Linked DNA regions of Arabidopsis thaliana. The protein of the gene in region 3 interacts with the protein of the main gene of each other region in a pairwise test. Each region holds a gene or a part of one and is shown on either strand. Other genes may lie near its edges.

Region 1 (8,237 bases), on a different chromosome or scaffold from region 3:
CACAAACGTTTAAATCTCTCCATTGTAAAATCAAAACCGAGTAAGAAATTTGTTTCTTCATCTAAAGCAAGCCAATAAGTATTTCCTTTGAAAGACACACCATTCTCTGATTCTATGAGAAAGTAGTTGAGAGAGACTTTATCAATAAGAACCCTCCATGAATCAGTGGTAAACTCATAGATATTATACCTTAGGCCAATATGGTTTGGTGTCAAATAAGATGTCCAAAACCTCAAGATTTTGTAGCTACGGCATGATTTGTTATTTTTGTATCCTAGAGAAAACCTAGAATATGGCTTGTAATCATTTTCAAAGTTGATCCACCTGGTTTCCCCCAAACACGGATTCCAAACTAAGAGTCTATGATCCTTGGTGGTGCATAACAACAAACCATCGCAGTGAAAAACTTTGGCTATATAGACTTGTTCTGAATTATAATGTGAATCCTTTAGGCTAAGTACACTCTTAAACTCTATAGACGAACCAGAAAAGTTGAGATTGATGCTCATTGGACAAACCGTATAATCCTTCCATAAGAGAACATGAGACTGCTTTGGAGCTTTACAAAAGTGCTTCTCTGTGAATCTTCGGTTTTTGAATAAAGAGTTCCATTGTTTGCAAGTAAACCGTAATCGTTTCAGAGATGTGGCTGGGACCCTAGAGAGTATGTCTTCCACCAAATCCGGTGGAAGATCAGACATTGTTTCTCTTGTGAAAGAAGAAAGCGACTCGGAGGCTTGTAGTATAGATATTGGGGTTTTGAGTTTTTCACCCTTCAACCAATCTTTGTCTTTTATACAAACAAAAAATTAGGGTGTTGATTAATTAATATTAAATAGACTTGTATATAAAATTATAAATGTTACCATAAATTATTTTCATCACCATAAATATTCTAAACTTGTTAGATAGATAACATATTATTTTTCTTTTAAGAAACAAAATTAAAAGAAATCTTAAAAATTTATTGCATAAGTTTTATATCAAAGATGACAGATGTAAATGTACTATATAATGACTTAAATTTACGGTATTTAATGATCCCATAGGATTTTTACATCCCAAATTAAATGAGGCAAATTTAATAATTAGTTTTTAACATATTCACATAAAAATTGTTGCATTAAATAATAAATGTACATCAATTACAAAATTGTGTATTAATTCGTTTTTTTTTTAATTTAATATTAAATTATATTTAAAGAAAAACTAACATTTTTACAACTAGTAGTGCATCAAATGTTTGATTAACTTTGAAGCTAAAATTTTAAAGAATTTCGAGAACTATAAAATACTCAACTTCGCATCATTGTTGAGAAGATGAAAATTTTCTTGACAAGGATACGCAGATAAAAGTATTATTGCATAGACGCAGTTTCACAAATGTCTATGAATCTTCTTTTCATAATAGAAGTGGAGAACCAACAATGGTGATAGCCTATAAAAAGGCACCTGGTGATGTGTTACAAACAACCATATACTAGGCTTGTCAAGCCAGTGGAGCAGACTGCAATAAGATTAAAGCCTAACCAACCTTAGCTTGTTTCAAGGCCAGCAGGCCAACACTATCAAGGACCATGCCTTCGTTGTCTTCAATAATTATTACCAGCGTTATAAGCACAATGGAGGTTCTAGTTACTTTAATGGCGCATCACCGATTTTTTAAAAACATTTATCTATTTATGACTAAGAGGTTCCGAGCTAAGCACATACATTCTCACAAGCTGGGAACCAAAACATTTTATTTGGTCTGCACATTCATCCTCTTAGGCGGGAACCAAACCATTTTAATTTATATGGTTCTCTCCCGAGTGCCACTCAAAAATGATCATGGATTGCGACCCTAGTATGCAATTCTGGCTAAATCCTTTGGTTTTAGGAGGCTTAAAGTTCTGCTTCCAATATTGTTGTGTTTCAAAGTTGGTGGTGCAATAAATTTCACCTACATATCTTGTTTTACTCATTTGTTATTTTTGGTGCACATGCAATAAAGATTAGATGTTTCACTTTTCTCTTCTTCTCCAGCTAATGAAACAGATATTATATTCAAATGTAGAACTTCAATAAGATATATGGTATTAAAATTACATCAATTTGGTAATTGACATTATCCATTCTGAAACAAAATAAGCTATATATGATAAGCTTGACCACATTCCATATAACATAACTCATATATATTTGAATCAAATTCATAGTCAACAAAATTTGGCAGTTGATATGACTTACACCTAAATATAAGATCTTACATAATTCATTCTTTATTTTGTTGGTCAGAGTATAATCCATTCTAAACACAGAATACTAACACTATAAAATACTCGAGTTATAACCATCTTTAAGCTCTCAAACAGTTCAACTTGCCTCTTGTAAAAGATGAAAACTTTTTGTTTAGGGATAGCAATTGCTCTACTTTTCATAACAGTAACGTTTTCAGGTACAATATTATTGTAACATACACATAATCTCAAAGATCTCTATAACATGGGGTATCTTATTTTTGTAGCGAAAGCGGAGTTCGGACAATGGTGTGTAGCCGATGGACAGATACCAGATAATGTGATACAAGCAGCCGTAGACTGGGCTTGTCAAACAGGTGGAGCAGACTGCAGTACGATTCAGCCTAACCAGCCTTGCTTCTTGCCCAACACTGTCAAGGACCATGCCTCTGTTGTCTTCAATAACTATTACCAGCGTTATAAGCGCAACGGCGGTTCCTGTAACTTCAACAGCACTGCATTTATCACACAAACCGACCCTAGTAAGCAACTTTATCTAAACCCTTTTTGTTACAGTTATTTAAGCTCTTTGATCAATCAAAATCTTGAACCATCTGTTTCTGATTATCTCATGATTTGATAGGTCACGATTCGTGCCATTTTGAGTATGTGCCATTTTGAGTATGTCCAATGATTCAAAGGAAAGACCAAGATGAAATGAAAGATGATGAATTATACTACCGGTGAACAATATAAACAAATCTTTGTTGGAACTTGGAAGTTCTTGTAATGTAGAATTTTGATAAATTGTATGGTAATAAGATTACATTAATATGGTCGTCATTTACATAATCCCTTTAGCAACAAACTGAACAAGTAAAGGAAGATGCTTAATGGTTGTCGACACAGAATTGTTATTAAGCAATCTCTTAGGTAAACAAAAAAAAACAGTGAGTTCATATGTAGGATAAGCTTGACCACAAACTTGACAATATAGATGGTTATGAGATTGTTTAGAAAAGTAAAGTTGCCCATGCAGCAATGAACGCAAAGCCTCCGAATGGTGCCAATGTCGAAAACTTTCTGTCCTCCCGCAGCGCTACCATATAACACCTGCAACAACATTTCAACACACATGAAACTTCTCACATACTCATACCCGGAAATAGACTATTGAACACAAAACTAAAGTTATCTACTAAGCATCTAAAATATAGTTACTTCTCCAAAGAGCATACCTTCACATATCAAAGGAAGTACAAAGGGGACAAATACCATTCATTAACTCAAATACAAAGACCTATGCTATTAAATAAGTGATACAATGGTTTCCAAATGCTTCAGAGTTGGACACATGTCGAAATCGATAAAATCTCCCTAGCCACGAAGAATTGTGGCAAGTATTGCTACTGCTAGAGATTAGATATGAATTCTAGAAAGTCCAAATCATATCTAAATAGCTCAAATATCCATGAATGCACTACTATAACCTCAATGACAAGACATCCAACAAACATCTAGCACAAAAGCTCTACCATACACATCTCAAACTGAAGAATCTGAGAAACAAAAAGATAACAACTTACGTGCCGGAAAAGGCTACAATTCCAGCAGTCAACAAGCCACCAAACTAAGCAAGAAAAAGATATGTCAGCTCCATCAACTCTCAAAGGACAAAGATTAGAGAAACAGAGTACAAGAAGAGAAAGCTAACAATGTTGGGATATTTGGTGCTAGGAGCAGAAACAAGAGCAGCAGTGTGAACCAAATGGTAAAGTGAAGCCGTTTGCCACACCTGAACAACAACAAAAAAACCTAAACTTTCTCACAGAAATCCAACAAAGTATCGAATTTTCCAACAATTTTCAAGAATCTAAACCTGTTTGTAAGAAGGGTTCTCTGGTTTAAAGACATGAGCACCATAAGTTCCCAAACCAAGAGCAGCCATACCTAAACCAATTCTATCCGAATCAGTACCTTTCCTCACAAGATCAAAATCAAAAGATCATTACTTTATCTTAAATCTCACCGGAAATAGCGGCGACTTTGTGCCACATCCGAGGATCCATCGATCGTCGTCCTCTGATGTCTCTTAGATTGCTTCTTACACTATTTCCCATTTGACCAGAGACTTTAAGCGAGATGTGTCAAGTCGGTGATCGGGTCTTATTCGGTTTAAGCCTAAAACGACGTCGTATGTGATGTGTTATTTTCTTCACTACAGCAACTAAAAAGATTCTTCCTTTTGCTTCAGCTGCGAGCTTTGGTTGGATCTCTCACTTGCAAAACCAAATCCCTTATCGACTTCCACCGAAAGATCACTTCTTAACCTACACAAGGTTTGTTTTTCTCATAAAAATCAAACCTTTATTCTCTTTTCTTGATGATTTTGATGCTCTGCTTCTTCTTATCCACAAAACATGAAAACATTTCTTCTTTGATAAGTTTGATGTTGGTTTGTTGTAAATGATTGCTCTTTCTAGCAAGCTTTACTCTAAAGTGTGAAGAGAAATTGTCAAATTAGTTTGTTTAGGATTGGAACTCTTGTATGCCTTGTTTATTGATGAAGTAGTTCATGGCTGACGTAGATTCATAGAGTCATGAGTTGATTTCAATGATACTAGAGTTCTTGTTAGAGTTTTGATCTCCATGGATATTATTGTTCAATATTGATATCTAATTCAGTCTCTGATTAATGACTTTGTCTATGAATTCTACAGGTGTTTGTTATGAAGATCAGATAAATAAAAGGTCATTTGAGGATAATGGTTGATGTTCAAAGATTCTTACTTGCTTATTTGTGATGGACAATGTAAGAGGTTCAATAATGTTGCAGCCACTGCCAGAGATAGCTGAGAGTATCGATGATGCTATCTGCCATGAACTCTCCATGTGGCCTGATGATGCTAAAGATTTGTTATTGATAGTGGAGGCAATATCAAGGGGAGACTTGAAGTTGGTACTTGTTGCTTGTGCAAAAGCTGTTTCTGAGAATAATCTTCTAATGGCACGATGGTGTATGGGTGAGTTGCGCGGTATGGTTTCGATTTCTGGTGAGCCAATCCAGAGATTGGGAGCTTATATGTTAGAAGGGCTTGTTGCTAGGCTTGCTGCTTCTGGTAGTTCGATATATAAGTCTCTCCAGTCCAGAGAACCAGAGAGTTATGAATTTTTATCTTATGTGTATGTTCTGCATGAGGTTTGTCCATATTTCAAGTTTGGATACATGTCAGCGAATGGTGCGATTGCAGAAGCAATGAAGGATGAAGAGAGGATTCACATTATTGACTTCCAAATTGGACAAGGGAGCCAGTGGATAGCACTTATCCAGGCTTTTGCAGCTAGGCCTGGTGGGGCTCCAAATATTCGAATTACCGGAGTTGGTGATGGATCTGTCTTGGTTACAGTCAAGAAGAGACTAGAGAAACTTGCAAAGAAGTTTGATGTTCCATTCAGGTTCAATGCGGTTTCAAGGCCAAGTTGTGAAGTTGAAGTGGAAAATCTTGATGTCCGAGATGGCGAAGCCCTTGGAGTGAACTTTGCTTACATGCTGCATCATTTGCCAGATGAGAGTGTAAGCATGGAAAACCACAGGGACCGGTTGCTGAGGATGGTGAAGAGTCTATCACCTAAAGTAGTCACTCTTGTGGAACAAGAATGCAACACGAACACTTCCCCTTTCCTTCCTAGGTTCCTTGAGACATTAAGTTATTACACGGCAATGTTCGAATCTATCGATGTTATGCTTCCGAGAAATCACAAGGAAAGGATCAATATCGAGCAGCACTGCATGGCAAGGGATGTCGTCAACATCATAGCTTGTGAAGGAGCCGAGAGGATCGAAAGACACGAGCTTCTCGGGAAATGGAAGTCAAGGTTTTCCATGGCGGGTTTTGAGCCATACCCCTTGAGCTCAATCATTTCAGCCACCATTAGAGCCCTCTTGAGAGATTACAGCAACGGGTATGCGATTGAAGAAAGAGATGGTGCTCTGTACCTTGGTTGGATGGACCGAATCTTGGTCTCATCTTGTGCATGGAAGTGAAAGAATAAACGTCTCCAAGAATGTAATGCAAAAGACAGAACTGGAAGTAATAGATAGTTTTGTCTCATAACCATTAATAAGGTTGAATCAAATCATATACATCCCCATGCTACAACTATTACACAGGCTCCATCAACAAAGAAGGGCTCTTGTTGTGTTACCTTCTCTTCCTGTAACTCTTATTTGAACCAAATGGAAGTGGTTACATAAAGGTATTAAAGCATACTATTCCATTAAACACTAATCTAAATCTGGTCCCGCCTGAACAACAACTGTACAGTCTATAACCATATCGCCTGTACTAATCTATGTTAAAACAGCCATATAAATTACCACTCGGTACAACACTGAATGCTTAGCTTTGGGCAGGCTCTGTCTTGGGTTTTTGTTCCTCGCTCTCCAGGGTTCCTACTGCCTTCTCTTGACAAACAGTGGTTTTATCATCTGACTTTGCTTCCGGCTTGGCGTGATTGGCTGCGTGATCTTTGTTTGCATCTGATCTCTCTTTTATTTCCTCCTTCAGCTTCTCATCCAAAACTGGACCTTGATCAAGACTTTTCTCAAAGCCATTAGTCTTCGTTTTCTTTCTTAAGTGATCTTCGACATGCTGGTCTTTTGTAATGGATTGAAGAGTTGAGCTCTGTGGAGTCTTGTTGGCATCTCCTTCTTTATCATCAACTTCCGAGTCCAGCATGTTATTATGAGTAACAACTCTTCCTGGAGGCATATCGTGGTCGTGTTTTCCCTCGTAAGTTGTTATAAGCAACTTTGTGTCATGAGATGACCTCTCTACGTGTTTCTTGACGGGGCATCCAGGGCTTGAACATCTATAGTAGCTCCTAATACATAAAACATCAAATGGAGAAAGAACGTGAGCAGCGAAGAATGAAACCAAAAGTTTGACATTATATTTCAAACATGTAAGCAGTCACTACCTTGGATATGGGCTGCCTTTTACTGATTTCTGACCATATTTACGCCATCGGTACCCATCATTCACAATATCAAACAGAGTCTGAGTGTGAACCACAATGCGTGAATCATTGGTTGACCTCTCCACTGGACTCAGCTCAATGTTCCCTCCTTTCTTCCTGATTTAGTGACATCAACATAAGAAGAAAAAACAAGGAACACCAATGGTGAAGTCTTCCTCCAGAACCATGAAAAACAAACCGACATATCAATCATCAATACCTTCGCTTTGCGGTAGGACTATTATAATCCTTGTGAGTGTTGTCCCCCGTTATCCTACTTGATTGTGAAATATCAGTTTTCACATCATCAGCTGGTGGAATAACTGAAACATGTAATCCTCCATGGATCTTTGGTGGTTCGGTTTGACGAAGTGTCTGAACACTGGATCCAGATGTTTTCTCTACAAACATGATATCATAAGAAACAATGCACAGCTTATAAATTAGAGAAACTATATCTATTCTTTGTTCACCTTTACTAACAGCTGTGAAGACATCACTTCGCTTATCCTGATTGATAGGAACAGCACCAGCAAGAGGCTTTGGGTGATCATGTTCCCCAAAGTAAACGGTATCCACGACTTGTCCACCCGCAGACCGTTCCAACTGTTTTTTCGCTTTGCAGTTAGGGTGAGTGCACCTGTAATAGCTCCTTACAAACTCATTTCCTTTCACAAGTTTCTGTCCATATTTCCGCCAGTTGTATCCGTCTTCCATAACCTTCTCACGAATAAAAGGACTATTCCCTTCCGAACCAGACTGCAAAGATAATGCACCGCTACTTTCAGAAACCTTCGGTGCTTTCTCGGATACCGGGGAAGCAACATCTACTTCCGACTGCGAAGCTACCGTATGTGGAACAAGTTTTTCAAGCTCCTTACAGTCAGTAGATTCCAAACTTTCAACAACGGTTTCAGTTCTAGTTACAGCCACTGGTATGACCTCCGCTTTATCAGTAGTGGCAACAACATCATCCACTGCTTTAGTCTCATTTGAATG
Region 2 (6,674 bases), on a different chromosome or scaffold from region 3:
GAGAAATATAAAAACCGAGCAATTGGCTCGAGAAAAAAAACAGAGCAAGTTATACCTTAGGCAGAGGAGGAACATCCGTGGCCCGGAAGTTATGAGTACCCGACCCGCCCGAAACAATAAGGTCGTTGAGGCTAACGATCTCAGGTGACTCCCAAAGCAATCCGGAATCGAGAGTGAGGTCATCGAGGCCAACGATGGCCAGCAACTCAGGCACGGAGGGACAGCCGGTAAATCCTTCAAAGGGTCTGCGGCTATGAAGGGAGGAAGAGGCGGTGTGGTGTTGCCAGTCGCAGTTCTGGCAAAGAACAGACCTTTCAGTCTCGCAGAAAAGGGAAGAGGGAGATTCGTTGCAGGAGTCGCAGAGAAGTGACCTGAAGTGTTTGGCGAAGAGTTGGTTGGCGACGTGGACTTGCTTGTCGCAGGCGAGGCAGAGCTTGGCGGAGTCAGCTTTGCAGTAGACAAGAGCCACGGAGGAGTCGCAATAGTCGCAGAGGCGGTCACGCTGATGACCTTCTTCTGCTTCCATGGGAGGAGCTTAGAGGAGACGACGCCGACAGTTTTGGTAAGAAGAAGAAGTTGATCTTTTCTTGGGATATTTTGGGGCAACAAAACCAAATTTGGTGGCTTATGTAAAAGCCATATCTTAATTGCATTCTAGGTAATGAATGACGTTAAAGTGACGACATATTTGCTTAGACAAAGTCAAATACATTTTATTTCTTGGGGAAGAAGCTGGAAACCTACACTCTCTTCACCTTCCCGTGCCTTTCTTTACTCATCTCTCTCACTTAACTCGTGAAAAATAGCTCTCCATTTTTATATATTGATTTTTCTTGATATATCGGATTAGCCTAGAATTTAACATAATATTTTGGCTACCACATATATAATATACAGTACTTGGTTAGATTTTTAAAAAGTAAATAAGATCATAACTAATGAAGGGCTCAAGAGAAAGAGTTAATGAAGTTGACCACGAATACATCTCTGAAGATTTTTTAAACCGGGACTAGTCCAGAAAATGGACGTGGCAAATTAGGGACGTTAGAAAAAGGAAGCTCGTTGTTGAGGCAGCGTTGGCCGATTTGATTAACTTTAAAGAAACAGACAAACGAAAAAAAGGACTTTGTCACGTTACCGACATAGCTAGAATGCTCGATACTGAATCTTTTCTTCTTATATTTGTTTTTTGTTTGCCACTATGTATATTAGGTGAAACGGAAATGGATCCCACCATTAATTTTTGATATTGAGTCCAAATCTGCTTATCTCCACTAATACCTCATCATCGTTCCTCGATAACTATTACTCCATGAAGGTAGTTTTCAATTAGAGTTTCCGTACTGAATTAAACCTATTCAAGATTAGCTAATACCATGCATAGTTTGACTTTTAGGGCACGATGGGGAAAAAGAGACAGGATGGGCAATATCTAACATTCCAGCGACACTAATAACATGATCTCGACAACTACTGCCCCTACTTCTCTTGAACAATAACACATATCACAAGATAATCTAGCTAGGTTGCTTTTCCATCCTCGTAACATACTAACATGGCTATAAAAACTCATTTTTCAAAAATCGAAATTGATTCTGAAGCCTTTAATAAAAATACACACAACTAAACTGAAACCAAATGTTCTACCATTTCACTTTGGTGGACTAAACTATTCGCATGAGCTACGTTCCTTTTTTAATTTTTGATTTTTTAAAAAATGGTCCACTTTCCAAGTAATCATCGGTTCTCGATATTTTCTTGGACACGAATCTTGAGCCTATAGGTGGATGCTTTTTTCACGCGCCGGTCAAAGAATCTTGAATCTTATAACAATGACAACAAAGTGAATATGGTTCTTAGTTCTTACACGTTCTGTACAACTTCCGATTAGATTCTCCTATATATTTCCCACGATCCCAAGAAGTTGGAGGTCAAGAAAAGTTGTTCCACACATCATGTAAAGGGATTCTACCTTTATTATTTCTTTTCGACCTTTTGAACTCAGTATAATCATATTTTCTTCAAAAAGAAATCTTCAAGGTCTATATACTACTATATAACTATAGAGGCTTTTACACGCTTCTTTTGATTGGAGAATCTTGAAGTAGTTGATTTTGGTAACTTTAAGTAACTAAAGGGAAATAATTATGGGTAACATATATAAGCATGCAAAGCGTAAATGTCAAATCCATTATTTAGTAACTAATTTACGTGCTTAAACCTGTGAGTAGAGTTTAATCTCAAGTGATAAAAAGCGGAACTAAGGAGAATAATATGCTTCGTTATCTATAAAGCTGATGAGAGGATCGTTAATGTACCGTATATAAAACAACTATTCATATGATTCGTTAGTAAAAAAAATTGTATTTTTTTCTTCTAACATTGTATGTTTTTATTGATTATGAGCATATATGTTTAATTTACTACACGAGCAACTAACGAAAAAACAAAGAGTTCATATATATAAAAAGGTGTACAATTTTTCATTAGAAAATAATAGTAAATTAAACGTGAAGATACTCAAGAATAAAGGAACGCAAAAAGAGCAGTGATTTTGTGTAGCCATGATATACTTGGACCGCGAAAGATCTTCCATCCTCTTCCTCAAACTGCTTTAGTTGCATTAGGCCACTGGTATCTTATCATTGTTTTTCTTCTTACCAAATTTGTATGGTGGAGACTAATTAAGTCTATTCTGATCTAATATTTTTCACATTCGATTTATATATACTCTAATGGGCACTGATTTATCCTTGATTCAAAAGTACGCTCTAAACACAACATCACAAAGGCTAAATCTGTATATCGCCCGATATAATGTTAACTATCAATAGGTCTAACTAATAATGATGAAGCCAACTTATACATTACATCTTGATAATTAGAAGACGAGTTCATGCATGTGTTGGCCATTCACATTTTTATTCTAGCTACTGTCAGTGTATGTGAATATTTCTAAATAAGAAAATGGTTTGTGTGTAGCCTCCTTCTGATACCATGTTAAAAACAGACAAGTATAAACGGTTTCTTGCCTTATTATATGGAAAGCCCTAAATTACTCAACATACACAAGAGATCGTTACTAATTGTGTGGGAAAAAATGTAAAAGTTTCAATACTATTTTCATTAGCATAAACAGAGAGTCATACATCAACATACACCAGTTGATTAACTAAACTGAAACACGAGAGAAGCTAAACAATAGAACATACAAACGATAAACATTAATTCAGACGAAGTCCTCACTGAATATCTAGCTAGCTCACACTCTAGCTGTAACTGTGTTTATTCTCACTAGCTAATAATTAGATATTATATATTGAGTTGGTTTAATTTTGCTAGTAAAGGATGGACTGATAGGGTTTGATCAATGGGACAAGAGAGCCACTAAGGTGAAGGGACATGACTTCATTGGTGGAGCCAACAAGCTTGCCTCCGACAAAGACAGCTGGAACCGCCGTGGAACAGCCGAGCCGGAGAAGAGCCTTCTCGATCTCACGGCAGTCCGGGTCGTTGTCGATCTCGTGGATGGTTGGTTGAACCCTAAGGTCACGGAACAGGATTTGAACGGCGTAGCAGAGACAACATGAGCTCTTCGTGAAGATCACCACTCCTTTCTCTGAAGACATTCTCATCACTTTGTCCATGATCCTCAGAAGTCTGAAGATCTGATGATGGCTAGGGGTTTAAACTTTAGCGTTTTGATGTATGTTTTGTTTTGTTTTGAGTATGTAAAAAGCTTGACATTTGCTCGCCTATTTATAGGAAGGGAGTGAGTCTTTCGAGTGTGTTTTTTTCTTGCTAATTAGAAAGAAAAGACCATTTAAAATGTAGTTTATTTCTAAGAAAATATCAAAAAGGAAAGATAAAATATCAGATGCCTATTTGAGAATTTTTCTTCTTATTTATATTCTGTTTGACTGCACAAGTTGCAAACATTACTCTCACTTCTAAGTTATTCAATTTATTTTTATTTCTACGGTAACGCTGCAGTTGTTTTGATCGTCATAACATGTTGATTAGTAATTTACGAATACGATTCGAAAAATTGTAATCAGTTTCACCTTTTTGTGGGTTAATAATAGTATACGCATTGCCAGTGACATAAATATAATTAATCTAAATAATAAGCACATGCATGCATGGACTAATTGATGAAATAAGTATGAACGGAATGCATATGATAGTAATTTTGAAACACTAACATAGATATGAAAGTTGAAGCTAGCTTATCAAATTGATTACAACAATGATAGAAATCAGACGATTTCTTAATAACTTTTGGCTAAGCGATTTTCTTAAACTGCTGATATTCAAATCAATGTGACAAGAAATATAGCATGATTAATACCCCTAGAAAAAGAAAAGAGGCTTGTCAATTTATAATCTAACGGATTCTCTCAACATATCTCCTTTGATTGAGTCATTGCGCAAAGTGAGGATAAATGAAAAAGATTGGACCTTTCGGTGATAAACATGTATATATATGTATCAACAATATGCATCGTACATGGTGATTCCGCCAACACCAACTTGCCAAAGAAAATTATTCCATCTTTCTTTTTTATATATTCTTCTTTCACACTTACACTAATGTTTGATTCACTTCTCTCGAAATGTCTTTCTTGCCGGACGCACGCGTGAATCACACGCATATGTTAACTCTGCTGCGTCATTCTTGGCTTACTTTTCGATTGTTTTGTGGGTGTAGTAATCTTTTCATGAGCGAGATTCTCTTTTATGTTTGATTCAAAAACGATCATATATATACTAGTTATAGCATAGTTACGTTCGATATTCATTTGTATATCGGTTAGGTATTATACTACGTACATTTTTTTCTATAATCGGAAGATATTATGCTAAATCCAGATGATATTCCGATATTAACAGAAATCTTTACGTGATGATTGATTACAGTCTAGTTTCTCCGTATCAACTGATAATTAATCTCCACGAGCATCGGAGCATGCATAATCTTCTATATATATGGTTACTAAAAGTATAATTCAATATTCATGCAAGCTTAGATAAATATATGTATGTATTATTCACGAGATGACATAATATGAACTAGTGTGTGTAGAATAAATGATAGTAAGAAGCGTGATGATATGTAGTCACAACCATATGGCGTTAGAGGCCTTTAACATCTGCTTGAGGGAGCCATCCACGTGGAAGGAGATGACGTCTTTAGCTGAGCCGACGTACCTTCCTCCTACGAAAACCGCAGGGACAGCAGGGTTAGACCCGAATACCCGGAAGAGGGCCCGTTCCATGTCAGGGCCTTGCGGGTCCTTGTCAAGCTCATGGATGGCAGGACTCGCCCCGAGTTCGTAGAAGAGAGTCTTGATGCTATGACACATGCAACACGAGCTCTTCGTGAATATCACAGCCGCCTTCTCCGATGCCAAATCTCTTACTCGTTCCATCGACGATGTGACAAAGAAGTGTTAATTCGAGGCCTTGAGTATGGATGATAAACAAGCCGATCGATCAAACTATTATTTATAGCCCCGCCGCATTCGGCATATATTTTCGGAAAATGAACGCGATCAATTATATAGTTTGGTATGTTATCAAAAAAGGTAAGTTGTGTCGCTTTCGGTCTGCGACAGGCAGCAGCATCACATACCCTTGACATTTGTTTATACATCACAATATATAGTAGTTTTTCTTTGGAATAAATTTATGGACAAAAAGCTGAAATTTATTGTTTTTTTTTTTGTAAGTTAGTTATTCAAACGTATAATTTAAAATGATAATAATATACAAAGGTCAAAAGCAAAAATCTGGTGTTGACTGGTGTGGTGTTTAAAAATGTCATCTAATAAAAAAAAAACATAGGCTTTTTGTTTTTGTTACAGATTAATAAAGTAGTAATTATATAGTTATTTTCATTACATCTAGGTACGTTTTGGCCAACCTGTTAGAGAGGGAGCCAAAATACTTTTCTAGTGTGGTCACAGCAATTGAGTTGTGGAATCACCAACCCAAATTCCAAACCAAGACTTGATTTCATCCTCTCTTTTTTCAAGATATTTGTCATTAATGTATATATTCCCTTACAAAATATCTCACAGGTAAGGTAGATATATTACCTTGTCGAGGGGATCCAACGACGTGGCAAACGCAAGGACCAGTCATGTTAATTAGATTCTTTTAGTTCAAATCTCGACGTCCATAGTTCTTCTATGTAGGTCGTAGATTATATTCTGTTTTTTTTTTTCCTGTCATCACAAGGCGTTGACACTTGACATAGTGCAAATTCTCTGTACCTATAAAGCAAAGATTAGGCCCGTGAGTAAAAAAAATCTCACAGTTTTTTTCACGTCTAATATACTCCGGAAGATTTGTAGTGGGCCGTTGAGCGCAATGAGATATAATATATAGGCCTACTAGAAAAGGCCTAGAAAAGTGACAAAGGGATCAAGACTTAATTCTTGCCCCATTGAGCTGGAAACAAAACTAGAACAAAATGTTTTCCGTTAAGGGTCTTCTTGATCCATATCAATATATCATCATCAACGAACAGTATATACAAGACAAGCTTTACACACTTGGGAATGTATTATGCAACTCTAGAATCTGTAAATTACAAATTTACACACTCAAATTCACTCTCGTCTTTTCTTTGTTAAAGAAATATTACAAAAGAGTAGAAGAAGAAGAAG
Region 3 (9,987 bases):
GGGTTGTTAATAGTCTCACCATCTGTTGATATGTTTGTAGCCTTAAGTTATCAGCCTGCCACAAACAATAAGATGGTTCTATCAACTGACTGCAAAATACTTTTTTCATTTGATGTTAAACAACAAAATTGTAACGTACCTGGCGGATAAATCCTTCAAGGGTACCTAACTTCCCCATCGCCATGGCCATCTGACCCATGTAGCTAGCTACATTCCCTGATGAACTTGAACCGAGAGTCCCACTCGATAAAGTATCAGCGAGTGATTGCTGTAAGTTGTCCATCCCTTGAGACAAAGCATCTTCTGCTTGCTGAGAAGACTGTTGCAAGTTATTTATGTCTAGCGATTGTTGTTCTGTCAAGGGCTCCAACTGACTCGCTATAAGCTGTAGTAGAGAAGTAAAAAGTTTGGAAACTTGCTAGTGAAGAGACCAAATAAACCGAACCTGGTCGTGTGTTTTTTACCTTGAGAAGTTCTGATGAACGGAAACCGCCGAGCCACAAGAAACATCTCTCAGCTGGGGTTTTCCACATCCCTGATAATAAATGGAAGACATCACTCTTAGCTGCGTTGCCTTTTATCCTGTAAAGCTCCTCATAGTGAGCTATTACTCCATCTACAATTATCCGAAGCTCAGAATCAGTCGCGTGAGAATCTATAGCAGAACTCAGCTCCTTCATCTGTCTGTTTTTATCTTCCTGCCATCGTCTGTATTCTACATCAAATGCCATTGCCCCTGTAAAAGAGAAGCATTCATAAAAAATTATCTCACAAGAAAGTGATCAACACCATCAACCAAACTAGTGCTTGCTCTACTTTATAACCAACAAAACTAAAATTTTCAACCACATCATCAATAAATGGTTATGAATTATGATTCAGCTAACTCACCATCTCCAGCGGTAGAATGGGCTTGGTCTCCAGAGCTTGAGATAAAGACACCCTAAGATTAAGAGAAAAATGTTATGTATGCAACAGAGCAAATATCTACACAAATATAGCTGAACAAAGTTAAAACCTGTTGCCGTGCTCTTTGTAGCTCCTGCTCAAGTTGTGTTAGCTTCAATCGACTGTTCTCTAGCTGCTGAACATATGCCTAAAAGTGCAGTAACCAACAAACATCTTAGAGTTTGCAAATAGCTATGCTTGTAAAAAACATAAAAGAATTGAAACTATGAACATAAATCTAAGCATACTTTCTTCCTCAATCTGCTTTTCCTTGCAGCCTCACGGTTTTGAGCGAGCCTACGAAGCGTCTGTTGATTACAACAACAAACAAGAAAAACATAACTGAAAGGCTCAATGACAAAAACCAAACTCTTGCAAAATAGAGATGTTTATATTCACCTTTTGATCCATTTTACTCTTTGAACGGTCACTAGAATCAGAAGCACCGATACCCAAATGCCCTTCATCGAACTGCATAAATACTGTTTTATTTCAAAACTTTGGCCATTTAATGAACATAAAGAAGCAAGACCTAGAAATTTTACAAGCTAACCATTAGGTTATTATGATCAGTGTCTCCATCTGTTGAGACTGATGTTCTTGGACTAGTATCTCCCATTTTTCTTTTTCTTCAAAATCTCTGTTACTAAATCATCAGATAAAAACCGATCCAATCGTGGTACCCTAGATGGAGTAAAGACTGTCAAAAGTAAGATGGTAAACATAAACAAAAGATTAGAGTTATAGAGAAAGAAAACATATTTTTAAGCCAAAAACCAACGCATTAAGTAGAATCAAGAAAGTGGAAACAATGATACGATACATCACCCTATTTATGTCACACTAACATAAAGATCCAAACCACTAAACTTAACACATAGCTGTGAAGCAACCAATGACCTCAAGAACTTTGAGTATTCAAAGCCAGAGAATCAAAGTAAACAATAAGCACGCCTATATGATTTGAAATGAGAACCAACGGACTTCTATAGCGTAAAGCTCTCCGTGAGGTGAAACAGTAACTAATCTGAACATTAGACTGAAGTAGAGCTAAAAGATTCAGAATTTAGCAAACTAGCCCCGGAAACAGAGTAAAAGACACAAAATTCAAGCTTCATAACATCAAATCTCAACCAATTCGTTTAAATAGTGTCCGAAATAATGATTTTGGATCCTTAACACGTACATAAAGCAAAAAGGAAAAAATTCCCTCAAAGGTCAAAATCTTCAATGGAAAAAAACAATCATGAAAGCAGAGGCAGAATAAGAAAACTGAAGAACTAAAACCCCTAAGACTATTGAAGAAGAGACTCACCTGAAAAGAACGGATTCTTTGAGCTTAACCCCAAACAAAAGTTGCTCGGAGAAAAAGCGATTTAGAGAAAGATCCGGAAAATTCCAATCTACAACTGCAAAGACGTGGTCTTTGTCTAAAACCCACAACAGATATAGTATCAATCACCAACAAAGGTTACTACTTTTGTATCTTCCTTCTTTGAGGTATTTTTAGTTGTACGATCTTCTTTTTTTTTATTTTGCCGGTCTCTGAAAAAAAACAGGAATGGAAGACGAAACTCAAGTGATGGTGGACCTCTAGATGCTGAGGGTTAAAAAGTCCTCTGAAAATTGCAACACTCTCTTTTTTCTAAAAACAAAATAATTCTTGGTTTTGACAATGACATGTCCCTTTTTTTATTACAAAAAAATCTATCACACTTACTTTGAATGTAAATTCATTTTCATCATCTCTTGGAAGTTTACATTAGAATCCTCACTAAATAAGATTTAAGACACAAGCGATGAAACTACAAAACTCAAATAGAACATCTTAATATTGTTAAATGATTACAGTACAGAAGTTGCAAGGTTAAAACACCTTTACCACACACAAAAGTAACAAAAAAAAACAAAATTCAATAACCTTTCTAAGATAATCGAAGATGCTATATAAACAACATTGAACTTTTCAAATGCTAAATTAAAAACTGATGACTACAACTAAAACAACATGAATTACCACAACCATGTAGAAGAAACCTACATACAAAGAGTCTTTTGTTTCCCAGAAATTTGCTTATTTGTTGATGGATTTGGTAAGAAGAATCTGACAAGTGTTGATTAATAGTCTCTCCTGGTTTTGTGTCCATATGGATTTTGTACAGCTGACATGTGACCAAAATACAGTTTCACTCTCTGGGTCGAGCAAGCCATAAGGAGCTTAGAGCTCGTAGCCGTGAGAAGTAATCGTGTATTGCAAGTAGAGCACGTGCTGACTGTCTCGTTGTTAATACTCTTATCATCTGTTGCAATGTTTGTAGTCTCAAATTATCAGCCTGCCACCACCAACCAAGAGACGATTATTAACCTATTGATATATATATATACTCTTAACTAAGATATCATCTCAAAACATCACAAGTGTTGTACCTGGCGGATAAATCCTTCGAGTGTACCTAACTTTCCCATTGCCATGGCCATCTGACCCATGTAGCTTGCGACATTCCCTGATGAACTTGAACCAAGAGTCCCGCTCGATAAAGTATCAGCTAGTGACTGTTGTAAGCTCTCCATCCCTTGAGACAAAGCATCTTCAGCCTGCTGCGATGTCTGTTGCAGGTTATTTATGCCCATCAACTGTCTCTCTGTCATTGGCTCCAACTGATTCGCCAGAAGCTGTTTCAACACATTTTTCCCTATGACCATTCTTTTTATGTTCTATGTAGAAACAGATGCAATCGGTGAAGACAAAGTGAAATTTGACCTCACCTTTAGAAGTTCGGATGAACGAAATCCACCGAGCCACAAGAAACATCTCTCAGCTGGTGTTTTCCACATGCCAGATAGCAAGTGAAAGACATCATTCTTAGCTGCATTGCTCTTTATCCTGAAAAGCTCCTCATAGTGAGCCATCACACCATCGACTATTATTCGAAGCTCAGAATCACCTGCATGCGCATTCAGAGCAGACCTCAGCTCGTTCATTTGCTTGTTCTTTTCTTCCAACCACCGTGAATGTTCAGCATCAAACGCCAAAGCACCTGAATTAAAAAATTTATACATGATCAAAACAAACCCATGAGATTCGTCATCTTGTAAATCTAAATCTACACCAGTGCTAATTAGAATAACAGTTTTTGCTATCAGAACCATGTCAGTCTGCCACTGACTCTGATAACCCAGTGTATTGTAATGGGATGAGATATGATGTACTAATTGATCAGTCTACACCAAGTCAACAGGAAGTTGATATATGAACTTAACTTATACACAAATTAGAAGCCAAAAAATAAACATAATTAAAACTAATGGAGAATAAGCAACCAACCATTTCCACCAGTAGAATGGGCCTGGTCTCCTGTGCCTGAAATGAAGACGCCCTAGAAACAAGAAATTTACCGTTAGGTATACAGAATAACAAAATAAAAATCAATAGAAATAAGAAACAAATTTGAACCTGCTGTCTTGCTCTTTGCAGCTCCTGCTCAAGCTGGGTTAGTTTCAAGCGGCTGTTCTCTAGCTGCTGAACATAAGCCTATGGAGGGAGCAATTAAAAGGAATTAACGTAGTACCAAATAGCTATGCTTCTAGCGATGCACCAATTTAAAAAGAAAAGAAAAAGTAAAAAAAGATAAAACCAATGGAAGGTAATATACCTTCTTCCTCAATCTGCTTTTCCTTGCTGCCTCACGGTTTTGAGCAAGCCTACGAAGAGTCTATGGATCAAAATATAAGGAAACAAAAAGAGATTATAAATTGGCTGAATAAAAACAGTGATCTTATCTACAGAGATGGACATGTCACCTTTTGATCCATCTTTCCCTTCGATCGGTCACTCGAATCAGAAGCAGCAGTATTCACTAGTGCTCCCTCCGACTGCATTAAAATTAACACCAGAATTTTTGTTTGGTCCATAAAAAATCACACTATTTTGAAGAATATAAGTGATAAAATCTAGCCAGATTATGAGCTAACCCCAAGATCAGGATGATCTGTGTCGTCATCTGTTGAGACATCAGTTCTCGGACTGGTATCAGCCATATTACTTTCTCACCACTTTTCTGTACTAACACTTGATAACAAAGACAATATCCACTTGTGGCCTCTCTTTTAGTAACAACTTCTTGAAATTTCTCTTGTGTGCACAGACTGCCAGGATTCGGAAGGAAATTAAGAAAAAGAAAAAAAGACAGAAAGAACAAAATTAGGTGATAGAATATAAAAGAAAGATCAACACCTACCAATACGAATCAATAGGAAATGAATCAGGAACAAATGTTGGTCACCCGGAGCATTGGCTGCGCTGAATGAGCACAAAAAAAAACAGCATTACATACCATCTCTTTTGCTAACATAGTTTTCAATTATGTCCTATAAAGTCAAGAAAAAGGTTCTCTAGTTTGTTTCAGTTAAACAAGCCAGCTAAAGAATGCTAAAGAGTCCTTTACTTATTCAAAGTGTCCTAAGGGAAATTCTGCTGACTACCATAAGTCACAAAGTCAAATATATAAGAACAATCTGTTTGTAGCTAACAGACTGACAAAAATAGCCCATCAAAAACACAACCTTTAAAGCAATTCATCAAACCCAATCAGACATGTAGCTTGCACAATCTACAAAGTCTGAGAAACTCATTCAGACCTTAAGCTTAGCTCGCGGATCAAAGTCAAAATCAGTGAGACTTAAGGTGTTGGCACAGTCGAAAATGCCTGAGTTTGAAAAATTAGGTACAGTCACACTCACACACATCATTTCAATTCAGTTTGAATGACACTAAAGTAGCTTCAGTAGCTGAATCTCTTAGTTTTGCAACTCTAGCTAGAACAAAAACTATTCAGTATTCACATCCGAGTTGACTCAATTCCTTACTCAGTATTCATATCCGAGTAAAGTAAAAAAAAAAAGCTAAACTCTAAATCTAGAACCAGTGAGAATTCGGCATGAAGCTGCAGCTATGATTTCAAACCAAGAAACTACCACCGAAACAGAATTCAAGAGATTAACATTTAATTCGATGATTTTGGTAGCTCAAAATTAAGAACAAAATCACCAATTAAAAAAAAAAAAAAGCTGAACTCTTTAAGCTTGAGAAAGTCAACTAGGTTTAACTTCAAAAGCAAAAAGACAGAGTTAACAAGTAGCTTCTTAGGACTGTGAAGGAGAAAACTCCCAGAAAAAAAACAAAGGAAGAAAAACCCTAGAAAAAAAGGTTGGCTTGATGAAGAAACTGACCTGGAAAAACGAAATCTTGAAGGTGCACAAGTAAAGGGCTTGATTCGAAATCGGATTGAAACAAAGAAACAGAGAGAGACACGATCCGAAATTCCAATCTCCGAGACGTCGTTTTGTCTACAAATCTACCAGTTCCCCATAGACCCTCGACCAAAATTTAACGGGAAATTTCAAACTAAACCCTATACTCTTTATTTTTACCATTAACCAACCCTACTATCTTATAATTGCAAAACCCACCCCGTATTTTCAACACCTGAAATTCAATTCACTCTCACTCTCACTCTCACTCTCACTCTCACTCTCTCACTACTTCACTCATTCAGCAGATCCTCTTCATTCTCTATTCTTAACTCATTAATGGCTACCAGATTCAAGCACCAGTTTTCAATCTCACTAGCCTTGACATTCTTCTTCTTCTTCACCAAGACCTTCTCTTTCACAGAGAACGAGGAACTTGGTAACCTTCTCAGATTCAAAGCCTCCTTTGATGATCCAAAAGGCTCTCTTTCAGGTTGGTTTAACACTTCTTCTTCGCACCATTGTAACTGGACTGGTATCACATGTACTAGAGCTCCTACTCTTTACGTCTCTTCCATTAACCTTCAAAGTTTGAATCTTTCTGGTGAAATCTCTGACTCCATTTGTGACCTCCCTTACCTCACTCACCTTGACCTCTCCTTGAACTTCTTCAATCAGCCTATCCCACTTCAGTTGTCTCGTTGTGTTACTTTAGAGACTCTTAATCTCAGCTCTAATCTCATCTGGGGCACAATCCCTGATCAGATTTCTGAGTTTAGTTCCTTGAAAGTTATTGACTTTAGCAGTAACCATGTCGAAGGTATGATTCCAGAAGATTTAGGGTTATTGTTTAATCTCCAAGTTCTCAACTTGGGAAGTAATTTGCTCACTGGTATCGTCCCTCCTGCTATTGGGAAGCTAAGTGAGCTTGTTGTTCTTGATTTGTCTGAAAACAGCTATTTGGTTAGTGAGATTCCTTCTTTTCTTGGGAAGCTAGACAAGCTTGAACAGCTTCTGTTGCATAGGTCAGGGTTCCATGGAGAGATTCCTACTTCGTTTGTTGGTTTGACAAGTTTGAGAACCTTGGATCTGAGTTTGAACAACCTGAGTGGTGAGATTCCTCGATCATTAGGCCCTTCTCTCAAGAACTTAGTGTCTCTTGATGTCTCACAGAATAAGTTATCTGGCTCTTTCCCTAGTGGCATTTGCAGTGGTAAAAGGCTTATTAACCTTTCTCTCCACTCGAATTTCTTTGAAGGGTCATTGCCTAACTCCATTGGTGAATGCCTTAGTCTGGAGAGGCTTCAAGTGCAGAACAATGGATTTTCTGGTGAGTTTCCAGTTGTGTTGTGGAAATTACCCAGGATTAAGATTATTAGAGCGGATAATAATCGGTTCACAGGTCAAGTGCCAGAGTCTGTGTCTTTGGCTTCTGCATTGGAGCAAGTTGAGATAGTCAACAATTCCTTTTCTGGTGAAATCCCACATGGTCTTGGATTGGTTAAGAGCTTGTATAAGTTTTCTGCTTCACAAAACCGGTTTAGTGGAGAGTTACCGCCGAATTTTTGCGACTCACCTGTCCTTAGTATTGTAAACATCTCTCACAATAGGCTCTTAGGAAAGATCCCAGAACTGAAAAACTGCAAGAAGCTTGTCTCTTTGTCTCTAGCAGGCAATGCATTCACCGGAGAAATCCCGCCATCACTTGCTGATTTACATGTTCTGACCTATCTTGATCTATCTGATAATAGTCTTACTGGTTTGATCCCTCAAGGCTTACAGAACCTAAAGCTTGCTCTTTTTAACGTGTCATTCAATGGATTATCAGGTGAGGTACCTCACTCTCTGGTCTCCGGGTTACCAGCTTCCTTTCTGCAAGGAAATCCTGAGCTTTGTGGACCCGGTTTACCCAATTCTTGCTCCTCTGATCGGTCTAACTTCCATAAAAAAGGTGGTAAAGCGTTGGTGTTATCTTTGATATGTTTAGCACTTGCTATTGCCACTTTCCTTGCGGTGTTATATCGTTATTCTCGAAAGAAAGTGCAATTCAAGAGTACTTGGCGCTCGGAGTTTTATTATCCCTTCAAGTTAACTGAGCATGAGTTGATGAAAGTGGTGAATGAAAGTTGTCCTTCCGGAAGTGAAGTATACGTTCTCAGTTTATCTAGTGGGGAGTTATTAGCTGTGAAGAAGCTTGTGAATTCTAAGAATATATCCTCGAAATCTCTGAAAGCTCAAGTGAGAACCATAGCAAAGATACGGCATAAGAACATTACTCGAATTCTTGGGTTTTGCTTCAAAGACGAGATGATCTTCTTGATCTATGAATTCACACAAAATGGTAGCTTACATGATATGCTATCGAGAGCTGGCGACCAACTGCCGTGGAGTATTAGGTTGAAGATAGCACTAGGTGTTGCTCAAGCATTGGCTTACATTAGCAAAGACTATGTGCCACACTTACTCCATAGGAACCTAAAATCAGCAAACATTTTCTTGGACAAAGATTTCGAACCCAAGCTCTCTGATTTTGCTCTTGACCATATCGTTGGAGAAACTGCTTTTCAGTCTCTGGTACATGCAAACACCAACTCCTGCTATACTGCACCAGGTAAATATCTAGGACGACTGAGTTTTTCTGTACATGCAAACCTTTAGTGAAATTTTTTTCCTTGATGTGATTCAGAAAACCATTACAGCAAGAAAGCAACAGAAGATATGGATGTTTACAGTTTTGGTGTTGTATTACTAGAACTTGTAACGGGACAAAGCGCAGAGAAAGCAGAAGAAGGCTCTTCTGGGGAGTCCCTTGACATAGTGAAGCAGGTCAGGAGGAAGATAAACCTGACAGATGGAGCTGCACAAGTTCTTGACCAAAAGATCTTGTCCGATTCTTGCCAATCAGACATGCGAAAGACCTTAGACATTGCTCTAGATTGCACCGCCGTTGCTGCAGAGAAACGACCTTCACTGGTTAAAGTTATTAAACTGCTTGAGGGTATTAGTTCTTCTGTCTCACCAGTTTCCGCATAAACAATAAACCAAGAGAGACCGTTTCTTAGCACTGGTTTGAACTCAAAAATCAAGCTTTTATGGAAATGGTCCAAGAGCAAGATGGTATGTTTTGTTTGTGTAACATTAGAGTATGTAGTAATGTACATTGGTCATTTGATCTTCAAGGATAATAAGAATTGGACTTTTAATGTACTTCCCGATAAGTTTGGAATTTCCGCAGGCACTTTCTGGTAATTTAAGCCAGGTTTAGGCTTCTCCAAGGAGTCTGTATCTTTCATTAGTCTCAGAAAGATTGAGGTTATCCTTCGCTACAGCCCCTTTGATGACGTTGTAGTATGGAGGAGATCTTGGTGTTTCTACCTTCTCGTTGCTGCTGTATCCATTTTTGTGTGTCATAGAAAGCTTAAGTTTGACACTGAACTCTGCAACAATGTCTGTCAAGTGGCTACAAGAAGGAGGAGAATATGAAACCGGATTGACTTGCCGAGGAAAGCCTCTAGCTGTATCTCTAGATAAGCTTCTATTCTCAAGTATGCTCTGGAAACACAAAAACAACATAGGTTTAGGCTTTTAGCAAGACAACTTTTCTTTGTACCCAGTCAATAAAGCACAGAACATAAGTAGATCAACCTGAGCGTTGAGTTCCTCAAGCACAGTTCCTGGAACAGGATACGGGCAGAATTCATCGGGGGTGAAATTGCATACTATCCTTTTTATCAAACTCAGGCCAATTGATGGGCAGACCTGTGGAAACCCAAAAAAGTAAACAAGAAG
Region 4 (6,904 bases), 2.4 Mb from region 3:
ATGCATGTGTTTCTGCAGGGATGGAGGTCTTGTGCTATCACTACGCTGGGTAGGGGTGGCAGTGATTTGACAGCTACAACGATTGGGAAAGCGCTAGGACTGCGGGAAATTCAGGTATTTGATGGCTTTGGCCAAGATTGCATCATGTAGATGAAATTTTGTTAAACAATGATTTTTTAATATAGGTTTGGAAAGATGTGGATGGAGTTTTGACTTGTGATCCTAACATATATCCTGGAGCTCAATCTGTTCCGTACTTAACGTTCGATGAGGCAGCTGAGCTTGCTTACTTTGGTGCCCAGGTAATCTCGTAGATTAGCTATGCACTATGCTGATGAGTTCTTTTCTGTCAGATGGCTGAGCATATTCCTCTTCCATTGCAGGTGTTGCATCCACTGTCTATGAGGCCAGCAAGAGATGGCGACATTCCTGTGAGGGTTAAGAACTCGTACAACCCCACTGCTCCAGGAACTGTCATCACCAGATCAAGAGACATGAGTAAGGTTCGTGAAACAGATGTGTTTTTTTAACTCCTTATATCAAAATATCAATGACCTTTTCCTCCTTTAATTCCTTGTAGGCTGTGCTAACCAGCATTGTTCTGAAACGTAATGTGACCATGTTGGACATAGCAAGCACCCGTATGCTTGGCCAATATGGTTTCCTTGCCAAGGTAATATAATTGGATAATGATATCTTTATTCGACTTTGTTTAATATCTCACTGGAAGCATACTCACTGTCTCGTGTGCAGGTGTTTACCACATTTGAAGATTTAGGTATATCGGTTGATGTTGTGGCAACAAGTGAAGTTAGTATATCATTGACATTGGATCCAGCAAAGCTCTGGGGTAGAGAGTTAATTCAGCGAGTAAATGTAATACTCCTTTGACTTTGATAGATTGTTTCTTTTGTGAGGGTCATATGTGGTATTGGTTAAAGGGACTGGGTGTGAACAGGAACTGGATAATTTGGTGGAAGAGCTAGAGAAGATTGCTGTTGTGAAACTACTTCAACGCAGATCAATCATCTCTCTCATAGGAAATGTTCAGAAATCCTCACTCATATTAGAGAAGGTGAGTGAGAGTAACATGTCTTGTGTTCTCTTTTGAATTTTGAAGTTTTAATTTAGTGGGAATGGAATGAATGACAAAACAGGTGTTCCAAGTATTTAGAAGCAATGGAGTGAATGTGCAGATGATCTCGCAGGGTGCATCTAAGGTTAGATGGAATCCGCTGCTACATGATAGTGAATGAATATGGTTTACTTATGGTTATAGTGAATGGGGATATGTGTGTGTGTGTGTGTGTGTTTCAGGTAAACATCTCATTGATAGTGAATGATGAAGAGGCAGAGCAATGTGTGAGGGCTCTCCACTCCGCCTTCTTTGAGACCGATCCTTAGTGCAACACAGAGCACCCATCTCTCTCCTTCAACTCTGCTTCTGTGCGTAGTTTAATGCTAAGAATGTGTCAAGACTTGGAACTATTTCAAATTCTTGTCCATTGTTGTTGTTGTTGTTGTTGTTGTTGTGATACAATACATCATAATTTGAGCCAAAGCCTATAATCTTTTAATTTAAAGAGTACATAGACAAGCTCAAAAAGAAATAAAGAAATAACCAGTGTGTTGAGTAGGGATTCAGATTTAAAGCTTAGTTTTTAGGATTTAAGATTTGGTTTTATGACATAAGGTTTACAATTATTAGTCAATGGTAATTATACTATTTTGTTCACAAGAATTAAGATATAAATTAGTTTCTTCATTTTGACATCAGTATATTTTCATAATTTCTTCTTGTCAACAAAAGAAGAAAAAAGAAAAAGAAAAACAAATTCAGTATAGAAGAGAAAGTGAGCATTGAAGGAGCAGGCTTAGGCCAACTCCAATGGGACTCTAAAACACCATTTTAGTGTAATTTTTGCACTAAAAGCTCTCCAATGGAACTCTAAAATTCACACCATTTTAGTGTAATGCTACAGTGTTACATCAAATTTGGTGTGATACTATTCACAACTCTAAACACTATTCACTTATTATATCAATAAAAATTCAATTAACAAATATAAAATTACAAATGATTAATAGATATAAAATATAAAAATGAATGGATACATTAATATATTATATCTCTTGAAATAGTTTATTTAGTTATGATATTTTTATATTATTATGTATGAAAATACTCAAAATAGTTACAATTTTATGTATTTTTAAATATATATTTCAATATACTATGTTTATAATGTTATGTAATTCTATACTAGTAATAAATACTAATCAAAACTATTAAATAATAAAAGAAATCTTTTAAATAGATAATATAATAGTATATATTTTTTTTAGTATGATTTTTGGTGTTATGGTCGGAAAAAACACAAGTTTTAGTGCTAAAAATGATGTAATTTGAACACCAAAATGGTGTTGAGCCTTGAAGATGCCCTTAGAAAGTAAAGAAACACTTTAAATGATACCGAAAATACCCTTCCTGAAAAGCATAAGCAACAGTTACTTGACCAGGGTCATATCCGACCGACCAGCCGGTCAACGAGAAATACACATCTGATGAAATCTGTTACGTAAGGCTTCTGTAACGGCCTTCCAATTTTTTCCATATAATATATGATAAAGTGGTCCGACAAACGCAATCCCTCAAAGATTGTTATTTTATCATCATCTTAAGAACAAAGATTTAGTCCTCCAAATCATATAAATCAGCTTTAATTAGTTTATACACCAAATCTTAAACCAATGAAGGGACATTTAACTCTTCGGACTCACTTAAACTATATATACCCATATCTTAAGCTTTCTTTTATTTTCTTAAAAAGTAACAGAAATGTTCTCAAATAGATCGATGTATAGAATATGAATAATTTAGGGATATTATTCATATATAATCAATCGATGAGAGGTGACTCTATATTGCAGATTGGGTACCTACAAATTTCATAACAAGTTGTTTGTGCTGACAACGATAAATGTTTTTATTTTAGCATTTTTCCTTTTTATGGAAGGGGTTGGTCAAACATGAGAAACAAGAAGGCAAATTTTGCAGATAACAAAAGGAAGGCAGAAGCATGCATGAAAGCCAAAAAAGCATGTGACCAACTTTGTAAAATTCAACCTTTTTTCTCAGCCTTTTGGTAAAATTATCTACAAATCCAAACTATATATATATGGAACTATACATTTTTGTCTAACTGAATTCACAACATTTAATAATCATATATAAAGAAAAAGATGGTAGCAAACCAAGAACACATGCCAACTTGTAATTTCCATACATCAAGAACACTGACATTCTGATGGTAAGCAACTAAACACTGTTGGCAACTACAATCTCTTTTAAAAGTTCATTCTCAAGAATATTGATGACTCCTTTATTTCTTTTTATATAACATTAACTAGCCAATTTTCTATATCCCATTAGGGGCTAAGAATAATAAAATGGTTACGAAATTCGATCTTGATCACCAAAAGATATTCCAACTTGTATATATGTTTAGCGCTACATTTGTGAGATGCTAATTGGATTACACAATCCAAAATATATATTCCACTCCTTTTGCGATCATATTGATAATGGTATTATATGTAGCTTGTTTATAGAGATTGATTAGAGAGGATTTGAGAGCATAAAGTGAATACGGAATATAATGGAAAACCACCGGCCATATATCCAAACATTCGACCTCATCTCTGCGTTACGACTTGCTCACATAATGTTGGCAGCATCAAATTTATTATTCGGCGCGTCTCTATATACAATATATATATATACACATGAATATTGGACCATTTGTATTTATATATATGCATATATTGGACCATTTGTATTTGATAATATTGGACCAATTTCGCAGACAAAAACTAGCTAGCTAGTGTAAATGTGTAAGAAGATATTACAGAAAAAGCCGACAAGAAGGATAGATATATCCATTACCAACAATTCCCTTATTCTACTAACCTATTTAACTGAATAATATTCTACTTTTATATGGTTGTAAAATCTTGAAAAAATAAATAATTATACTTAAATGGGACTCAAATGTCTCTTAAAAATATCATCCTATCATAACAAAAGCTAGCAACCATGATGGTCCATGACTATCACATCAATAACTTTGTTATCATTTGGCATATCCTCTCTAATAATATGCCATTTTAAAATAAATTAAAACCTACCAGTTAAATTTAGAACTTCACCATGTATAAATACTCTGCATGCCTCTCACTCTCTCCCCAACCAACTCTCACACAAATTCTCTCGCTCTCTCACTCTCTTATTCTCTTTCTCTTTTTCTCTAAGAATACAAAAAAAGATGCAATACAAAACAGAAACTCGAGGGTCGTTGTCCTACAACAACAACAGTAAGGTGATGAACAACATGAATGTGTTTCCGTCGGAGACACTGGCGAAGATAGAGTCGATGGCGGCAGAGAATGCGGTGGTTATATTCAGCGTGAGCACTTGCTGCATGTGCCATGCCATCAAGCGTCTCTTCCGTGGAATGGGCGTCAGCCCCGCCGTCCACGAGCTCGACCTCCTCCCTTACGGAGTTGAAATCCACCGAGCTCTCCTCCGTCTCCTTGGCTGTTCCAGCGGTGGCGCCACATCTCCGGGGGCACTTCCGGTGGTGTTCATCGGAGGGAAGATGGTAGGAGCAATGGAGAGAGTGATGGCTTCACATATCAATGGCTCACTCGTCCCTCTTCTCAAAGATGCTGGCGCTCTTTGGCTCTGATGAGTGCTAATCTCATCCTCCAAATATCAACCTTTGGTTTATCTTTGGTTTTTAAGGACAGAAGAAATAGGTTAATCCCAGTGTTGAATTAGAGACAGTGAGAGAGAAGAGTGATGCGTTTGTTTTAAGCTTAGCTCTTTGTCTATCTTAAATCACACTAATATATAAATGTTAACTAATCGCTATGTCTCTTGTTAGCTTTCTTATCTCTAATTTTACAATTTGACAGTTGATTTGCAAAATTTAATGGTCATTTTTCACAAATAAAAATTTGCCATGAAAATAAAATAAAATTAAAGGTCAAACTAAGACAAGAACGAGGAGGTTATTTTCATGACCTAAAATCTTAACCGTTATAACTGTTAACTTGTGGGGGAAATAATCACCTCATGAGGGGTCCCCACTCCAGATTACGTGGAGACCCACTAACAATAATCCGTGATTTTGACCCGACCGTTGCGTCAAGAAGAGCCCGTACATGATCATCCAATAACGTCACTGATTTTACAGCTATCAATTCCTTCCTAATTCATTTTTGCTTTTAAAAAACAAATTAGAGAACACTTCTTCAGTCATTCATATTTCATACAATCACATGTCACCTTTTCTTTGTTTTTTCTTCTTCTCAAAGTTGTAAGAAAACTACAATTACAAGGTCACATTATCTGAGTTTGGAAGGTTTTTAAACATTTCACTTCCATTACAACTTTAAAGGGCTCATCAATTACCATGATGAGTAAAAGAAGGAACTAAATAGCATATATACCTTGAGATAAGTTATACTCATTAGAATAATTCTTACGTAGACAATAAACGACTCGTAACGTGTAAGTCACCCAGAGATCTTGATTACAGCAGTATAGGAATCTACACAGAATAAAGGGAAATACAATTTGGGGAATCTAATCTAATTGCCTATTGGTGTAATTATGTGTTCTCAATTGCTCGAATAAATGGAAGAATGGAATCAGGATCAGATGATGAACAGAAAGACGCCAACAGGTCAGAAGATATTGTGTGAACAAGAGATGGCGATACCTCTTTGATCCATTGCATATGTCTAATTCCAATCTCAACCTCTTTCGCATCCGCCACACATTTCAGCAACACGACATGTGCTCCTGTGTGTTCTAAGTGTTCTCTCTCGCGCAGCAGCTGCGATGCCTCACCAGAATGGCCTTCACACATACACACCAAACGAATCAATAAATATCTTGACATGAGGCAATTGGAAAAGACTAGAAGACATATTTGTTCTCTCTCACCGTTGCTGCATAGATTTAAGACAAACTCGCTTAATACTCTTCTTGTAACTGTTTTATGATCCCTCTCCATGCACTTTCTGAAAACTTCCATAGCAGCTTCAATTTTTGTCTCCTTGCATAGGCCTTCAATGAGTGACATATAGATTGTTTCATCTGGTTCTATCCCTCTCTCAAGCATCTTGTCAAACAGCCTTAAAGACTCCTCTGCCTCGCCTTCCTCTGATAATTTCCTAATAAGTACATTATATGTCGTCAGATTCATTTTGCAGCCCTCCACAAACATCTCATCCCACAGTTTCTTTGCTGGACGGATCATTTCCGCTTTGCAACAAGCTTCAATGAGAGCGTTATAGAGTGAAACGTCTGGAGCAAGCCCTTCCTTCTTCATTTCTTGCAGAGCAGTGTAACTTTCTCTGACTCTCCCAGCCTTGCACAAGAACGATATCATCAGACTGTAACTCTGAAGTTCTGAGAAATAACCTTTGCTTGACAAAAGCTCATAAGCCTTTATCAGATGATCACTCTTGTCATGCCTGCAAAGATTCTTACTTAACTTGCTCAGAGTCCGAATAGCAGGCAATTTCCCTGTGCTGACCATGTAAACTAAGAATTCAACAGCAGAATCTGGATCAACTGCAGAGACAGATCCAATCAACGCGTCTAAGATATCATTATCCATAGGGAATTTTCCACTCACAATCACCTCAGCCACTTCCTTAGCCTCCGTTAATCGCTTAGCTGAAATCAAATCCAGAATAAAAGCTCGGTAATCGCTGCTCCTAGGTGCTACTCCGAGCTTTCTCTTCTTCTTTAAAACAACCTGTCTCTCATACAGATTCCCAGTAACTACAAACGCTTCAGCTATGACCCTATAAGCCATAAAATCCGGTT

Evidence for each region.
Region 1: the proteins of AHBP-1B (region 3) and SCL21 interact in binary tests that used the Arabidopsis thaliana proteins (3 or more experiments, as listed by UniProt).
Region 2: the proteins of AHBP-1B (region 3) and AT2G47880 interact in a two-hybrid assay, tested with the Arabidopsis thaliana proteins (2 studies listed by BioGRID).
Region 4: the proteins of AHBP-1B (region 3) and ROXY2 interact in a two-hybrid assay, tested with the Arabidopsis thaliana proteins (3 studies listed by BioGRID).

The regions. Positions count from the first base shown.
Region 1 is NC_003071.7:1,718,602-1,726,838, reverse strand, and holds SCL21 (SCARECROW-like 21), read left to right. Parts: upstream 1-4,234; 5' UTR 4,235-4,248; coding exon of another isoform or gene 4,249-4,339; 5' UTR 4,340-4,558; intron 4,559-4,939; 5' UTR 4,940-5,022; coding exon 5,023-6,264; 3' UTR 6,265-6,478; downstream 6,479-8,237. Other genes in the region: AT2G04920 (F-box and associated interaction domains-containing protein), read right to left, coding at 1-701; AT2G04910 (Carbohydrate-binding X8 domain superfamily protein), read left to right, coding at 2,485-2,859; AT2G04900 (uncharacterized protein), read right to left, coding at 3,233-3,332, 3,806-3,849, 3,934-4,014, 4,099-4,169, 4,249-4,339; ZAP1 (zinc-dependent activator protein-1), read right to left, coding at 6,620-7,103, 7,200-7,355, 7,459-8,237. UniProt on the Arabidopsis thaliana protein: Probable transcription factor involved in plant development.
Region 2 is NC_003071.7:19,602,097-19,608,770, reverse strand, and holds AT2G47880 (Glutaredoxin family protein), read right to left. Parts: upstream 3,742-6,674; 5' UTR 3,648-3,741; coding exon 3,339-3,647; 3' UTR 3,067-3,338; downstream 1-3,066. Other genes in the region: AT2G47890 (B-box type zinc finger protein with CCT domain-containing protein), read right to left, coding at 56-526; AT2G47885 (uncharacterized protein), read left to right, coding at 3,403-3,540; AT2G47870 (Thioredoxin superfamily protein), read right to left, coding at 5,121-5,432. UniProt on the Arabidopsis thaliana protein: Has a glutathione-disulfide oxidoreductase activity in the presence of NADPH and glutathione reductase. Reduces low molecular weight disulfides and proteins.
Region 3 is NC_003076.8:2,147,322-2,157,308, reverse strand, and holds AHBP-1B (bZIP transcription factor family protein), read right to left. Parts: upstream 6,470-9,987; 5' UTR 6,178-6,469; exon of another isoform or gene 6,174-6,177; intron 6,001-6,173; exon of another isoform or gene 5,512-6,000; intron 5,249-5,511; 5' UTR 5,187-5,248; exon of another isoform or gene 5,183-5,186; intron 5,095-5,182; 5' UTR 4,987-5,094; coding exon 4,921-4,986; intron 4,822-4,920; coding exon 4,750-4,821; intron 4,662-4,749; coding exon 4,602-4,661; intron 4,481-4,601; coding exon 4,403-4,480; intron 4,326-4,402; coding exon 4,274-4,325; intron 3,987-4,273; coding exon 3,715-3,986; intron 3,622-3,714; coding exon 3,376-3,621; intron 3,282-3,375; coding exon 3,135-3,281; 3' UTR 2,723-3,134; downstream 1-2,722. Other genes in the region: OBF5 (OCS-element binding factor 5), read right to left, coding at 1-55, 140-385, 465-736, 892-943, 1,019-1,096, 1,197-1,256, 1,348-1,419, 1,502-1,567; AT5G06940 (Leucine-rich repeat receptor-like protein kinase family protein), read left to right, coding at 6,538-8,809, 8,885-9,231; AT5G06930 (nucleolar-like protein), read right to left, coding at 9,460-9,750, 9,844-9,957.
Region 4 is NC_003076.8:4,537,590-4,544,493, forward strand, and holds ROXY2 (Thioredoxin superfamily protein), read left to right. Parts: upstream 1-4,190; 5' UTR 4,191-4,325; coding exon 4,326-4,748; 3' UTR 4,749-4,996; downstream 4,997-6,904. Other genes in the region: CARAB-AK-LYS (Aspartate kinase family protein), read left to right, coding at 19-114, 186-302, 384-503, 581-673, 754-876, 959-1,075, 1,158-1,220, 1,318-1,404; AT5G14080 (Tetratricopeptide repeat (TPR)-like superfamily protein), read right to left, coding at 5,676-5,926, 6,014-6,904.